Rhinolophus ferrumequinum: one gene and its partner. The protein of the gene in region 1 interacts with the protein of each later gene in a pairwise test. Links are inferred from orthologs where the notes say so. Each region holds a gene or a part of one and is shown on either strand. Other genes may lie near its edges.

What was found.
Region 2: the proteins of MIPOL1 (region 1) and ENKD1 interact in binary tests that used the Homo sapiens proteins (3 or more experiments, as listed by UniProt). The two-hybrid records come from large-scale screens. The link is inferred for Rhinolophus ferrumequinum from reciprocal best matches to the Homo sapiens genes MIPOL1 and ENKD1.

Annotation. Positions count from the first base shown.
Region 1 is NC_046289.1:85,022,437-85,029,652, reverse strand, and holds the start of MIPOL1 (mirror-image polydactyly gene 1 protein), read right to left. Parts: upstream 3,007-7,216; 5' UTR 2,762-3,006; intron 1-2,761.
Region 2 is NC_046298.1:17,287,673-17,295,379, reverse strand, and holds the start of ENKD1 (enkurin domain-containing protein 1), read left to right. Parts: upstream 1-4,695; 5' UTR 4,696-4,879; coding exon 4,880-5,015; intron 5,016-5,110; coding exon 5,111-5,305; intron 5,306-5,891; coding exon 5,892-6,064; intron 6,065-7,018; coding exon 7,019-7,144; intron 7,145-7,233; coding exon 7,234-7,397; intron 7,398-7,497; coding exon 7,498-7,634; intron 7,635-7,707. Other genes in the region: C15H16orf86 (uncharacterized protein C16orf86 homolog), read right to left, coding at 2,784-3,193, 3,297-3,529, 3,879-4,108, 4,332-4,436. UniProt on the Homo sapiens protein: Microtubule-binding protein which regulates microtubule organization and stability. Promotes the stability of astral microtubules and facilitates the proper orientation of the mitotic spindle.

The DNA.
Region 1 (7,216 bases):
TGGCTGTTACTTCCCACATCATGAGTATACTCAATCAGCTAGATAGAAATTTCAATCAAGCCATCCAAAGATGAAACAGCTCAAAAGACAATATCCACCTTAAAGTACTGCAAATAGTATTTTATGTATTTATACTTTTTTACTCAGTGTCCAGAACTGTCTGGACATTCATCCCTTCCCTAGCCTTTTACACAGTATCAAAGAAGGGTTGCATCGCCTTTCTTTTCTCACTTCTTAACTCTTTTGTTCTGCAGCTTTAAAGGCATGAGAGAAAGTAGGAGCAATAACAGTTTAGCAAAGTCTCAAATAAGTCTCTAATTAGTCTTTGAGGTAAAACTAGTAAAAAAGCAAATAAAGTATGTGTAGGAATTTGAAATTTAACCCCAAAACACTACAGTATACATTACTTGATATTACGTACTTACACTTTTCTAATATAGCCCATCTCAGTTAATGATTTCACCACCAATGGAAAGATTGAATAGTCATTTTTGAAGTCTTTTTTCCACATAGCAGCGGTTAGTAAACTATGAAACAAGAAACGAGGGAGGGAAAGAGGGAGAGCAGGAAGGATGGCAGGCAGGCAAACAAGCAAGCCAGCAAAAAAGGAAGAAGGAATGAAGGGAAGAAGGGAGGGAAGGAGGGAAAAAGAAAGGAAAGGAAGAAAAAGTAGGCAGGGAAAGAAATAGAAAAAGAGAAAGCAAGCAAGAAAGAGAAGGAAAAAGAATGAAAGGAGGAGGGAAGGAAAGGAAGGAAATACAACAGAGACTGTATATGGCCTGAAAATCCTAAAATACAGGCAGTCCTAGCTTCACACAGTACTGCTTTAACTGAAACCCAGACTACAAAGCAAGGACTACCTATACTTCTATATTTACTATCAGGCCCTTTATGAAAAATTTGATGACCCCTACAATAGAGGATATCCAAATGGTCAATAAATACATGAAGAGGTGCTAAATATTATTAGTCATTAGGGAAATCTGCGAAAAACCCAATGTGATATTACTATTTAACCACCAAAATGGCTAAAATAAAAAAAGATAATACTAAGTATTGCAAGCATTTGGAGAAGCCAGAATTCTGAAACACTGCTAAAAGGAGTGTTAACTGACAAAACTAATTTGAAAAGCTTTTGGTAGTTATTCCAGAACTACATACCTGCATATCCCGTAATATAGCCATTTCATCAGTAGGTATATATATTTCCAACAGAAATGTATACATATGTTCACCAAAGTAATTATAAAAATGTTCATAGAAGCCCTATTGTTAATAGCCAAAAACTGGATGGACTACTATACAGCATAAGAACAAACAAACTGGGTGGCCTATTAGTTCAGCTGATTAGAGCATGGTGCTGGCAGCATCAAGGTTGCTGGTTTGATCCCTGTATGGGCCACTGTGAAGCTGTGCCCTCCTTAAAAAACAAAAACAAAAAACTACTGCTATACAACTTGTATAAATGTCACAAACACAATAGTAAGCAAAAGTGAGACACAAAGGACTATATAGTGTATGATTCCATTTATACAAACTTGATCGGTAAATTCATAAATGAAATTAAAAATCGAGATAATGATTACCTTTGGAACGGAGGCACAGAGTGAGGCTTCTAGAATGCAAGTAATGCTCTTTGTTGTCTAGGCATTAGATATAATTTGTGAAAATTCAATGAGCTGTACACTTAATCATTCATGCACTTTTCTGTAGGTCTATTATCCTTTAACAATTAACACACTAAAAAGATACCTATAAACTCTGTTCCTCTGAGGTAAAATTGTATACTTCTCCGTTCACTTTTCTGATTTGCTATCATTTCCTCTCCCAATGAGATACCTTAATTCCTGTTACCTAATATAGAAGTCAGCTTTGTTTTAATTAATTTTCTTGGTATACTATTGCATAGGATACCCAAATGAATATATAACAGTCATTTTAAGTTAGTTCCACACTAGATCCCTAGGAGAAACTCTGAAAAGCCGACACCTTGTGACAGTATGTTATTATAAAATTATCTGAGGAAGGAAAAAAAAACCTCCTTGAAATGTAGTTTTGTTTGGCCCTTTGTTTTGTCTTACCTTTGTTTACTACCACTGTGATTTAATCTGCATAAAATGCTCAAAGGAACTTTTCAAAAAGCCTGTTCTTGTGGCAAGTTTTTCTTTCTACCATCCCGACTAATAACGCTATCTTGTGTTTATCCAGTTCCTTCCATCCATGGAGTTTAAAGTACTTCACAAATATTGGTGGGTGGTTTCATCTTCCAATTAGAGAAATTTGGGCCCAGAGACCAAAAATATTCTAACAGTATCTTTCTACAGCACGGTGCCTAAAGAAGTATCGCACTCTTTGCAGAAACTTACAAGTGTGAGACCTGAAATACAAACCGATTAGGTGACTCTCAAGGGCACAGAGTCAATCAGGTAGAACCAGGACCTGTACCCTCTAACTCACCGCCACTTAAGGAGAAAACAAACAAAAACCTATACCCTGAATAAACCCTCAGCTGCTGAACTCTTGTAATAGGAAACCGAGGAAGATGCCGAAATCATACTCAGAAAGAGGACCTGTGGACCCCACGACGCTGACCTTCCCGGGAGCCTCATCACTCCCAGCTGCAGGGGCCAACATTCACTGGGCGCAGATCCGCGGGGCCCCTTCACCTTCTCCAAGGGGGCTGCAGCCGGAATTTCCAGGGCTGGTCCAAGCCCACCCCTCCTTTCTCGGGTCTCCCAAGCCTCCCAGGCTACCCGTTTACCTGAGAGGCGCCCAACACCGCCCCAGAGCCGACTCTGCCCGCTCGCCCAGAGTTTCTCAGGCCCAATGCGCAGCCACCGCGTCAGCCAATCTCCGCCAGCTCGGCCCGTCCCCGAGCTCCCCCGCACCAGGAGCTGCGCGCGCCCGCAAACAAGCGGGAGGGGCGTGGCGGCGTGGTGAGCCAGCCGCACGCCGCGCGTGAGGGCCCACGGGGGACGCAGGCGGGACCGGCGCCCGAGGCAGAGGCAGGCGGCGCGAACCGGGCATGCGCGTGTCCCGCTGGTAGGGCCGCGGGGCGGGGTCTCTGGGCGAAGGAGCGACTTTAGAAAGTCTTCACAAGACTTGCTAGTCTTCCGCGGTGGCTCCAGCGGAGTGCTACGATTGTGGGGTCCCCGACGACGGGCGCGATCTGCGAGAGCAAAGTATTGTGTGGACCTTCGTATGGTTAGAGCAAGAAAACCACGTGGTTAAAAACGCGTCTTGTGGCCTCAACTTGAGCGCTGCCGAGTCTCCACTGGACCTGGCAGAATTGTAGTTTCCTGTTTTGTGTGTGGTTTGAGGAGAGAAGGAGAATGAGAATGGGATGTCAGGGAGAGATGAGAGGGGAATTGCCAAGTGATGACTGAATGAAAAGGACCGAAGTTGGACTCCAATTGGGTGAGCAAAAAGCAGTACTTAGCTCCTGGCCAAGGAATGTTTCAGACCTAAAGTTGGAGGAGGTAACCCTTCTACTTAAGCATTAGAAAGACGTATGATGCTTACGTTCAATATGTGGATTCTTTAAGACAAAATGTTGAACCTTCCATAATTAAACAAAAAATTAAGTTCTCAATTCGTGTACCTCCGTGTTGAAACAAGAAGGGACTGGCATAATTAATTAGCTGCTAGTAATTCAAATGTGGTTTTCATATTCCACAGATCAGTATTGCCTTTATAAATGTCACGTTAACTCCTTAAGACACCAAATATTTCATTTTATTCCTTCAGATACCAAATATTTATTGCACACATACTATGTGCTAGATACTCTTTTGGGTATTGGGTAATTGTTTCCCAAGTTAGTAGTTAAAGTTAGTGAAAGGAACTAAGTGTGAAAAAGAGGAGTAAATAAAGAAGACATGAAAAAATTGGATGTATTATAGTTGGAAAAAAATAGGTCATAAAATTCACAAACTCTTTATTATATTTCAATGAATGGGCATTGCTTTGAAGAGGTTTGTTATAGAATAAGTTTTGAAATGCATTTTTTTCATTAATTCAGCTAAGGTCTTTAATTCAGTCAAGATATTTATGGACACAAAGTACCATAAAAATATATAAGAAAGTAGAGGAGTGGTATAGTTTGTCAGAGTAGATGGAAAGGGAACTCCAATCACGAAGAATAATTTTTGAAAAGGTTTAGGACCAACTCAAATTATGCGTAAAAGAAAGGAGGGAAAATTGCTTTTCTTAGCTAAGGAATAACAAGAAATAACAGGGAATGGTGACCACAACATTAAGAAAAGTCAAAACAAATAATGAATTTATAGATTAAATTTAGAGAAAGTGGTTATACTATTTTTCTTTGGGTAGAGATACATAATCCTAGTTTTTTAAAGTTCATTACCTGGGTGGTGAAAGTCTCCAGGGTAAACAAAAAACCCATGTTTCCTTTCCTGTTTTTTCCTTCTGCCTTTTTTATTCAATGAGTCAGTCAAACATTAGGCCCTTTCTCCCTAGTCCTTCCTCCAACTTACGCGAGGTAACTCTTTTTTTGTAGTCTATTTATTTATTTTTTTCACTTACAGTTGACTTTCAATATTATATTAGTTTCAGGTGTACAGCATGATGGTTAGACATTTATATAATTGACAAAGTGATCCCCTGATAAATCTAGTACCATACATAGTTATTACAATATTATCGACTATATTCCCTTTGCGGTATTTATATCCCCCACTGTCAATTTGTACTTCTTAATCCCTTCACCTTTTTCACCCAGCCCTCTAACTCACCTCCCATCTATCGGGCAACTATCAGATTGTTCTCTGTATCTATGAGTCTATTTCTCTTTTGTTTGTTCATTTGCTTAGTTTTTTAGATTTCACATATAAGTAAAATCATGTGGTATTTGTCTTCTGAGGTAACTCGAATGCTCTTTTCCTGACCTTTCAGACCACAACAGCTAATTTTTTCCTAATTCCCTTCCACCACCACCTTCACTCACATATATATACATTTCTTCATTTTCCATCCTGCTAACAGTTGCCAGTCTACAAGAAATGAAAGAGACCAATTAGAGCTTTCTTTCCTGTTCTCAAGGATGTTGAGGTGATACTGTCAATGCCCTCATCTCTCATATAAGTTAGGCTTTTGCAGAAATATGGATAAGGATGAGAGGGAAAAGAAAACAAACACCTCTTTCACTATAGGGAGCAAAAGAATGTCAGATGGTGAATACTCTAAAGTCCAGAAACATCATCAGCCTCCCACAATGTGGTGGGCACTTCAGTCAGTTCTAGAAATAAAATAATGAATAAAAATTATACACACAAGTAGCTGAGAATGCCATGTATAGTAGTGGGGTTCTCCAGAGAAACAGAAACAAGATTTTATGTTTTTTATTGTATGGGATATCATTTTAATGTGCAATTCCCTGATGATGTAATGTTGAGCATTTTTCATATGCTTATTTGCCATGTTTATATCTTCATCGATGAGGTGTATGTTCAGATCTTTCGTACATTTTTTATTGTTTGGCCCATAATTGTGTTACTTGTGTTCTTATTACTGAGTTTTAAGATTTCTTTGAATATTATGGATACATATCCTTTATTTGTTTTGTAAATATTGGCTGCCAGTCTGTGGCTCGTCTTTTCATTTTCTTAATAGTGTCTTTAACAGCAGAAATTTTTAATTTTAATGAGGTCCAACTTCCCAATTTTTCTTTCGTGGATTGTGCTTTTGACATATTTTTAAAATCATCACCAAACCCAAGGTCACCTACACTTTCACTCGTATTATATTCTAGGACATTAATCACTTTGGATTTTACATTTAGACCTATGAGCCATTTTAAGTTAATTTTTGTGAAAGGTATATAGTCTGTGCCCAGATTTATTTTTAATGTGGATGTCCAGTTTTTCCAGCACACTCTGATGAAAAGACTATCCTTTCTCTGTTGAATTATCATTGCTCCTTTGTCAAAGATCACTTGGTTCTATTTGTGTGGGTCTATTTCTGGGATTTCTATTCTGTTCATTTGACCTATTTATCTTTTTTTTCCCCATCAATACCACACTATCTTGATCATTAGAATTTTATAGTAGTCTTAAAGGTGGGCAGTATCAATTTTATGACTTTGTTCTTCTCTTTCAACTTTCTGGGTCTTTTTCCTCTCCATATAAACTTTAGAAACAGTTTATCAATAACCACAAAGAAAATCTTGCATGGGTTTTGATTGGGATTGAATTAAATCTACAGATCAAGTTGGGAAGAACTGGTACCTTGACAATATTGAGCCTTATTTTCCGTATACTTTTGACCTTTGAACAACATGGGTTTGAAATGCATGGGTCTACTTATACATGGATTTTTTTCAATAAATATATAGTGGCCCTCTTTATCCCCAGGTTTTGCATTCGTAGATTCAACCAGTTGTGTATAGGGAGAATCAACCTCTAACCCCTGGGTTGTTCAAGGATCAACTGTACATGTAATATCTCTTTTTATTTCCATTTCCTTTGGTGTTTTCATCAGTTTTGTAGTTTTCCTTATATAGATCTTGTTCATATTTTGTTAAGATTTATACCTAAGTTTGTCTTTTTTTTTTGGTCTAATGTAAATGATATTGTATTGTTAATTTCAGATTACAATTGTTCATTTCTGGTATACAGGAAAACAATATTAAGTTGTGTCTTAACAACTTTACTATAATCACTTATAGGTTTTCTTTGTTGATTTAAAAAAAAGTTTTGTGTAGATAATCATATCGTCTGTGAACAAAGACAGTTTTATTTCTTCTTCTCAATCTGTTTACTTTCATGATTCATTTTCTGTTGTCATGCAGCAGCCTAACTGTCTGTCCCCTCATGCCTATCCCTAAAGAACAAAGAGTCTGTGAGACTGTTCCTTTCAGGGACTTTGCTTCACCTTTGTGCTTACACTTCATGTCTCTCTGTTTGGCTCCCAAAAGATGGTTGGTCAGCCAATGATGGGTAAGATTCCTCACGGGAGGAACAACCCACGCCAGGTGGAACCACATGGGGACCACCAGGAGAACTCACGGGGTAGATAGAGGTGGGCACAGGCCCCAACCTTCCCCTGGCTAAGGAGAGCTTCTGCCTATGTGGCTCTATTCCTTCCCACAACCTGCTTGGGAAGTGAGTCAATGATGTGATAACATCAGTTCTCCTTCCATTCTTAACAATAAGTTTTAGCATAAAGGATTTGTCCCTGGGAGGCACATATCATAATT
Region 2 (7,707 bases), on another chromosome or scaffold:
ACAACTGGTTCCAGGTTTGTCCTGCAGCGCCCTCTCCTGGAGGAAGACAGCATCACCTCCCAGGACCTGATTCCCAAATCTCAGGATCTTCCTTGGGTCAAAGTAAAGTTTTTCCAAGCCAGAGAAAATGTGGTTAACTTTTCCTCTGTGGTATGGCAACCAGAAGAGAACTTCCAAAATACCTGTTGCTTATTTTGGAAACCCCTTTCCAAATCGAGACCTCGTATCCAGACAATAGCAGTAGTCTCCTCACCTCCCTGTCCCCAGTCTCTCCCTTTCTCACACTGTCCTGCACACTGCTGCCCAAGCGACATCTCCAAAATGTCAGGCCAAGAGCCCTCCTTACCTACACCCCTCCCTCATCACTCCCAGATTCACCCAACCTGGTCTCCTGGTGGCCTGCTTCCGCCATGCTAAGTGGCCCTCCTGCATGGAGCTGCCATCTTCCACACTAGCAAGGCTTCGTGCCTGGCATATCCTCTGCCTGGAAGGCCACCCAGCTCTCCTTCAGGAGTCAGCTAGAGGCCTGCCTCTTCACTGCTTCCCTAGACATAGTGACAAGTCACCTCCGCCACCTGTGGTTCCACAGTCTTGCTCCTCAGGTCTTCCATGGCACATGTCTCTGCACCATGCTGCTTCGGCATTTTTCCCTTAGAGTGAGCGTCTAGGAGCAGTAGTGGTGACTTGTTCCTTTGTGTCGGGAAATGTAGCCTCGTTCTTCTATAGTTACTGAGTGTGTCCTTTGTCACCTGTGGAAGGTAAGGACAGAGCTTCCTTATCAGTGCTGGCCTGGTCCACACCTCTAGCCCTGGAGACCACACAGAGAAAGCAGATGCTCAGCCTTTTTGGGTCAGGTCTTCACCAGAGCCCCCAGATCCACAGATCTGCAGGGCTCAGGAAGGGGCGGGGCCTCCCTGGCGCCCAGGGTGTGGTCTCATACAAGGCCACTTCTCTCCAGGCCTTTGCTTCCTCAGCCATAAAAAGAGGAGGTCAAGCTCAGTAATCTTGAAGGACCCTCTATCTCTGAAAAATCCCTGAGAATCCATGCTCATCCCTGTGGACAATATTCAGTCTGCATGGTCTCTGTGGACAGTATTTCCTGGGGTGGTCAAATCACTAACCAGGGAAAAGTGTCAACAGGAAGAAGAAATATGTCCAGAACGCACAGCTTGCCCTGTGGCCTTGCCAAGGGGCTGGTGAGCATCCAAGCGACCCCTAAAGGAGGGAGCATCCCGTGCTGATGCCCGTTTTCTCTCTTCCAATGACCTTGCCAGGCCATTATTCCAGGTCCCACACATGGCTCTGGACGTTGGATGGCCTCCGCTTTTCAGATCCTGACCTATCCCTCTGTAGCTTCCTCAGGTCCCCACCTGGTCTCCTTATCTTTTTATGCTTTTTATGGGGGTCCTCTGCTAGTGGATGTGATGCAATGACACGGGCCCTTGGGGAGTTCAGTCTCATCCTGAAGACAGCTGTGACCCACAAGGACAGTAGTATGTGGCTACTTTAATGCAGGGCAACACTGGGAGTTGCCCAGCTCCGCAGGAAGCAAGGTGCCCTGAATCTTCACGGGTGCATGTGCACTAGCCAAGTGGAGGGGTGAGGGAATAAAGGCATTTTAGACAGGGAAGCCCCATGTGCAGAGACTGAAGGTAAGAAAAGGTGTGGCTGGTCAGGGAATGATAGGAAACCACTGAAAAGTTACAAGCAGCTGGGCTTAGATGAGAGTACTAGACGGGGAGCAACACCATCCGGGGTTTGGATGTGTGTGTCGTAGGTTCACCAGCCTTGATGATTGATTAGCTTGTAGGAGTCAACAAGCAAAGAACAGGATGGGGTCTGGGGTGACACCAGGATTTTGGCTTGAATGATTGCGCAGATGAGATACAGGAGGAAAAGCAGGTTGAGAGGAGGAGGAATTATTCGTTTAATTTGAAATTCTGTTTTTAAGGTGTCTGAGGGACATGCAGTAGGACGAGGAGACAGCAGGGTATTAGGGTTTCCAAATGGCCGGCACTGGCCACCTCTTCCAGAGACCCCTGAGGATGAGAAGCAGCAGTTATCTGGTGGCTTGGCCTCAGGGCTCCAGGGAGACCATTCACCACCACCACCACTCTCTGCCTGCCAGGAAATAGGCACCAGGGGCCACTCTGGGGGCAAAGTGTGGTCCAGCTGTGATCTAACAATAAGTGGAAAGCATCCCAAAGCTTCCACTCTTGGGCAGGCGAATGGACTCTGCCACCTCAGAGGGGAGAATCCCAAGTGTTGGTGCCCTGAAGGTCAGACCGAATGCAGACCCCTTCCCAGGAGACAGCAAGGCCATGCACCTGCTTCCCATGACCTGCCAGTTCCTTTCCTTTCTTTGCCCCAAGTTCCTCATCACCTCCCTCTCCATCCCCACCATTATCCTGTCCGAACTTCAGGTTCATCGGAGACTTGAAATGCACAGAACAAGTCCCTACCCCCACAGATTGATTCAGTTAGGTCTGAGGCAGTACCCAGGAATCTACATTTTTGTCGAGTTCCTAGGCAATCCAAATGACCCGTCAAGTTTCAAACCCTGCACTGGGGAATCCTCCACCCTCCTTCCCAGCCTCTCCCTCTTCAGGCACCTTATTTGGGGAGTCAAAGTCTGAGAAAAGGAAAAACATTTATTTTCAGCAAGTCCAAGGTGCCAAGTAGGGGCAGGGGCTATATTCCCCCCTCCTCCCGAGGGCTTGAGCCCATAGGCTGCTGCTCTGGTTCAGGCTTGGGAGGAAGGGAGCCACCAGGGGGTAGGACAGTCATTTGTACTGAGGAGAAAGTGGGGGTACAAGTGGGGCTGCACAGACACTTAGCATCTTGTCGATGTCCACCTGAGTTGACTTATCCACCTCAGCCTTGGGGCTGCTGCTAACCCCCAAGCTGGGCAAACCCCCAGGCTCCTCTCCAGCCTCCTCCCCCAGGGGAACCATAGCATGGATAGGGGGCACGGACATAGTGGGGCAGGGCACAGTGAGGCCTGAGCCAAGCTCACCTGCCACAGGCAGCAAGGCTGGCAGTTGCTCCACACCTGCCTCCTCGGGGACCAGGGTCAGCTCCCACTCAGGTTCCACCTCGGCTTCAGCCTCCCTGTCCCCCTCCCCTGCCTGGTTCAGCTCAGGATTGCAATAGTTGATGTACTGGTACAGAGGCCGTAGGCGCTGGACCTTTCCTGCAAGGATCCAGGGCAGAACGGGGGCTGGAGTACCAAGCTGTGCCATGTCAGGAGTCCAGCAGGCAGGGGAAAAAAGGAAGGCCCAGGGACTGCTACTCACGCTCTAGCCCCAAGGTCTCTGAGGGTGCAGATACTATGCTGGCCACAGCTGGGAGCACTGGGGCCCCCGGACTCTTGCGCTTCTTGGCTTTTTTGTGCTGTTTGGCAGTCGGTGAGGGCTCACTCCGACCACCCTCCGGGTCCTCCCTCTGTTGTGGCGGCCCCTGTGGCAGCTCAGCTTCAGCCCTAGGATGGGCTTGGTGGCTAGGCCCTGGGAGGCTGGGGGACAGGAGGCTTGAGGAGGCCGCCTCCATTCCAGCCTTGGCTCCTGAGTCCTGAGCCTGCGGAATAGCCCTGCCTCCCCACACCCTGGGCCCAGATTCGTGTTCCTTTCCTGGTCAGTGAGGCCCCAGCCTGGACCAGAGCTGAGAGCTCATGTGAGCTCAGACCCTGCAAGGCCTTGAGACTCTGAATGCTCCCTACACCAGGACTCTTGAGGGACAGAAGGAGTGAGGAGTGATGGTGGTGGCAGAGAATAAAGATGCACACACTGCAGGACTGCAGGATTTAGGAATCCTACCGGGGTGTGAGCCTCCCAACCCCCCTCAGCCCTGCAGCTTCTTCCCTCTGAAAGACCCCTCACTTGACTGGCTTCCTCTTCAGACCATGACTGGACCTCACAATGGAGGCCGTAGGCCTGGGGCTTCTCTCCTCTAGTGCCTCCACCTCTGGCTTGAGCCTCTCTTCCTCCAGCTTGAATGGTTCCTCCTGGAGCTCTGGCTCTGAGACTGGTCCTGTTGGACATTTGTCTTCACCGAGGGTCCCACTGGCCTCATGGACTGGCGCCAAGCACTGGTTTCCCATCACTGGACACTAGAGGTGACACACAGGTAACTGGTCACCATGGCCAGTCAAATGATACAGGGATCAGTCATTAAACACCCAACATTAGACACCAAACGTGAATAAAGGGCACCAGCCCATGGCCCTGCCCGCCTATGGAGCCTGTCCTGGCCGTTAGGGGGTCGACGCACAGAGTTTGGCCTCCTAGAGCGCCACGACCAAGAGTTTGAAGGCTAGACAACCTGTAGGTCACCTCAGAGCTCTGAGCACCGCCACCGGGCGCCTCCGCAAGCTGTACGGGCCCCTCAGTCGTCCCCTTTTGGGCCCCTGGGCGCCTCTCGGCCCCTGCCGAGGCCATAGCTGCGCAGAGTCAGCGCATCCTCGACGGCTGCTGATGGGAAGAGGTGGACGGGCCCCGAGGGGCCGGACAGGTTCACCCTTCGCTGACGCGGGAGACCGACCGGGAGGCGAGAGCCGGGGTGGGAAGGGCGACTGGAGACTACTCTAGCCCCTACCCTCAGCTGGAACTACAAACCCCAGGAACCTTTGCGTCGGGGTATTAGCCCCTGACCTCAGACGGAAACCATTGTTGCCTGGCAACAGCAAACTCGTCGGGTGGCAGCTGCGGGCAGTCTAAAGCTGTTCTGGTGAGCCCCCAGCCCGGGTGTTGAGAGGGAGGGGCCACGACCGGGGCAGGGAAGTGGGCTAGGAGCGGAGGCGGCTAGTTGCAGGCCGGGGACCGGGAATGGAGGCAACGCCGGGGTCAAGGTCCGGGTCCAGAGAGGAGGTCGGGGGCCCGAGATGTTTAGCCCGGCAGGCCTCGGTGCAACATTGCAGGGCGACGGCGGCGGCATGTGCGAGGGCCTGTCCCGCATCTCGGGGCCCATCCCCCCAGACCCTACGCTTTGTCCTGACTACTACCGACGGCCGGCCTCGGGTGAGTAGAGGGTGCCGCGGCTGAGCGAGGCCCGAGCGAACCTCGGATCTCTCTCCACCACTGAACGCGGCACTCTGATTTGTCCGGCCCCTCAGCCCAAGGGCGCCTTGAGGGAAACACGCCGAAGCTGGACCTGCTGACCTCGGACGCGGACCTGGACGTCACCCCGCCCCGCGGCCCCCGCATCCGTCCTGGAGCTGTAGAGATTCTGGAGCGTGGTCGGCGCGGCGTGGGGGCCATGCTGCTGCAACTTGGGGGTATCTCCCTAGGCCCAGAGGCCTCTCCCAAGAGTAAGTTCTGGGCAGAAGGGGCAGCAAGGCAAGTCGAGGTTAAAAAGAGATCAAAAGCTGCTCCTCCGGCCCTGACCACGGCTCAGGCTTTGCCTTTCTGAATGTGTTTCCCCAACTATAAAGGGAGGGGAAAATGCACTACCTCCTTACAGGAGAGGACTGAATGAGGTAGTCCCCAGGAAACCGTAGATCAGCTTTATGAATTCATTCATCAGTGAAACTTGTTGAGCGCTTGCTCTGTGCCAGGCCCAACAGGTGCTAGGAAAACAATAAGGTTTAAGACAAGCACAGGCCATCACGGAGTCCAGGTGGGAGACAATGAACAAGTGAAGGGATGATTATATATAAGATGATTAATGGTGTACCTCACAATAAAAATGTATAAAATAATCAAGGATAGAAGATAATTACCACGTCAGGAAGGAAACAAGGTGGTAAGATGGAGTATCTGTATAGGATCTAACTTAGATGGAGAAGTCAGGGAGATCTTTCTGTAGGAGGCAAGGTGTGGGCCTGTGTGTGAACTTGTATAAGTTGGGTTTCATGGGCTGTATGCAGGGCGAGTCTGGCAACATCTTTTCCCCAGGGAAGGAACCTAAAGACCATGAGAAGGAGAATCTGAGACGTATCAAGGAAATCCAGAAGCGCTTCCGCGAGCAGGAGCGCAGCCGGGAACAGGGCCAGTCCAGGCCCCTGAAGGCTCTGTGGCGCTCGCCCAAGTATGACAAAGTGGAATCCCGGGTCAAGGCCCAGCTGCAGGTACCTGCCTCAGGGAGCCAGAAGTATTGTCCATCTTGTTGGCCAAGAGGCAGTTATACCCTGATCTGAGTTATGGGGAGGGAGGAAAATCACAGGGGACTAAGGTAACAGGAGACTTAAGAGAGAACTGGTTCTGCAGCAAGGTGGCTCTGGGGATCCTCAGAAGTGGTGATGGCTGGGTGAGCCTGAGGGGCAAGTAGGAATTAGGCAAGGGGAGAATGGAAAAGAACATTCCGTAAAGATGAAACCTCACAGATAGAAGTCCTAAGACTAGAGGCAGTGTGGGCAGTGGGGGTGCTGTGTACAGTTTACTGTGAGGAGAGAAGAGCACAGAGTTAGGCTAAGAAGTCAGCTGGACCCACGTCATAAAGGGCCACATAACCCCCTTTTCAACTTTTTTTTTCGAAGGTCAGGGGCAGGGGTATGGTGGTGAGATTCTGTCTTGGGTAGATAGTGGCACCATTTCTCCATACAGAGGTCTCAGAAGGAGGAACAGGATTGAGAGTAAAGAATAAGGTCATATGTGGATGTGTTGAAGCTGAAGCATTTGTGGGACTCCCAGGGGGTGCGAGTGTGTCCAAGAACCAGATGGAGAGTCAGGTCTGGATCTCAGGAGTGAGAATCAGGAGTTATTGAGGATCAGACTAAGGATGATGAGACCAGGGAACTGACCCGGATTTGAGGGCTTGGAGGCCAGCTGTTAATGACCTTGGGGACAGAGCCAAGAAGCTTGACTAGGAAGGAGAGAAAAAGAGAATGGTAGCTGGAGCCAGGATTAAGGTAGGATGGACGGTTTGTTGTTTTCTTAAGGATGTGAGAGGTACACATGTTTATATGATAATCATGATGAGTGCTCCTTCAAAAAGGAGGAGGCCATAGCCCTAGGGATAGAGGCTCGGTCTTGAGACCTTGACCGCAGCCTGACTGATCCCTCTTCTATGCTCTGCCCTCCAGGAGCCCAGCCCTGCCTCTGGAACAGAGCCTGCCCACTTCCTGCGGGCGCACTCCCGCTGCGGCCCTGGGCTCCCACCACCCCGTGTCCCCAGTCCCCAGCTAACCCCACTAGGTCCCAATGCCAAGGTGAGAGAATGTGTGGGGGCTGGAAGGTGGGGCGGGGGTTCAGGGACACAACACAGTGCTGTCTGTCCACATGCTGCCATGTCCTGCAGGGGCAAGGCCTGGGTGTGGACTTCATTAGCCACAATGCCCGCACTGCCAAGAGGGCCCCCCGGCGGCATTCCCGCTCGCTGCAAGTCCTGACACAGGTGCTGGAGCAGCAACAGCAAGCCCAGGAGCACTACAATGCCACACAGAAGGGCCACGTGCCCCACTAGTAGGTCCCACTGCCGAACACCCAGGGTGAGGGGTGCCTGTGGCAGGTGGGAGCCAACATCTGCCCTGGAATCATCAACCCTGAGCCTGTGCATCCACAGCTTGTTGGAGCGCCGGGATCTGTGGCGGCAGGAGGCTGAGGCCCGCAAACATAGCCAGCCAGACCCTACCATGCCCCCTGGCCACACTCGCATGCCTGAGAACCAGCGGCTGGAAACACTGAGCAATCTGCTGCAGAGTGAGTATTTGAGCTGGATGGGGAACTCACTGGGGACCAGGTACCCCTGCCCAACACTAACCACCTGGGCCCA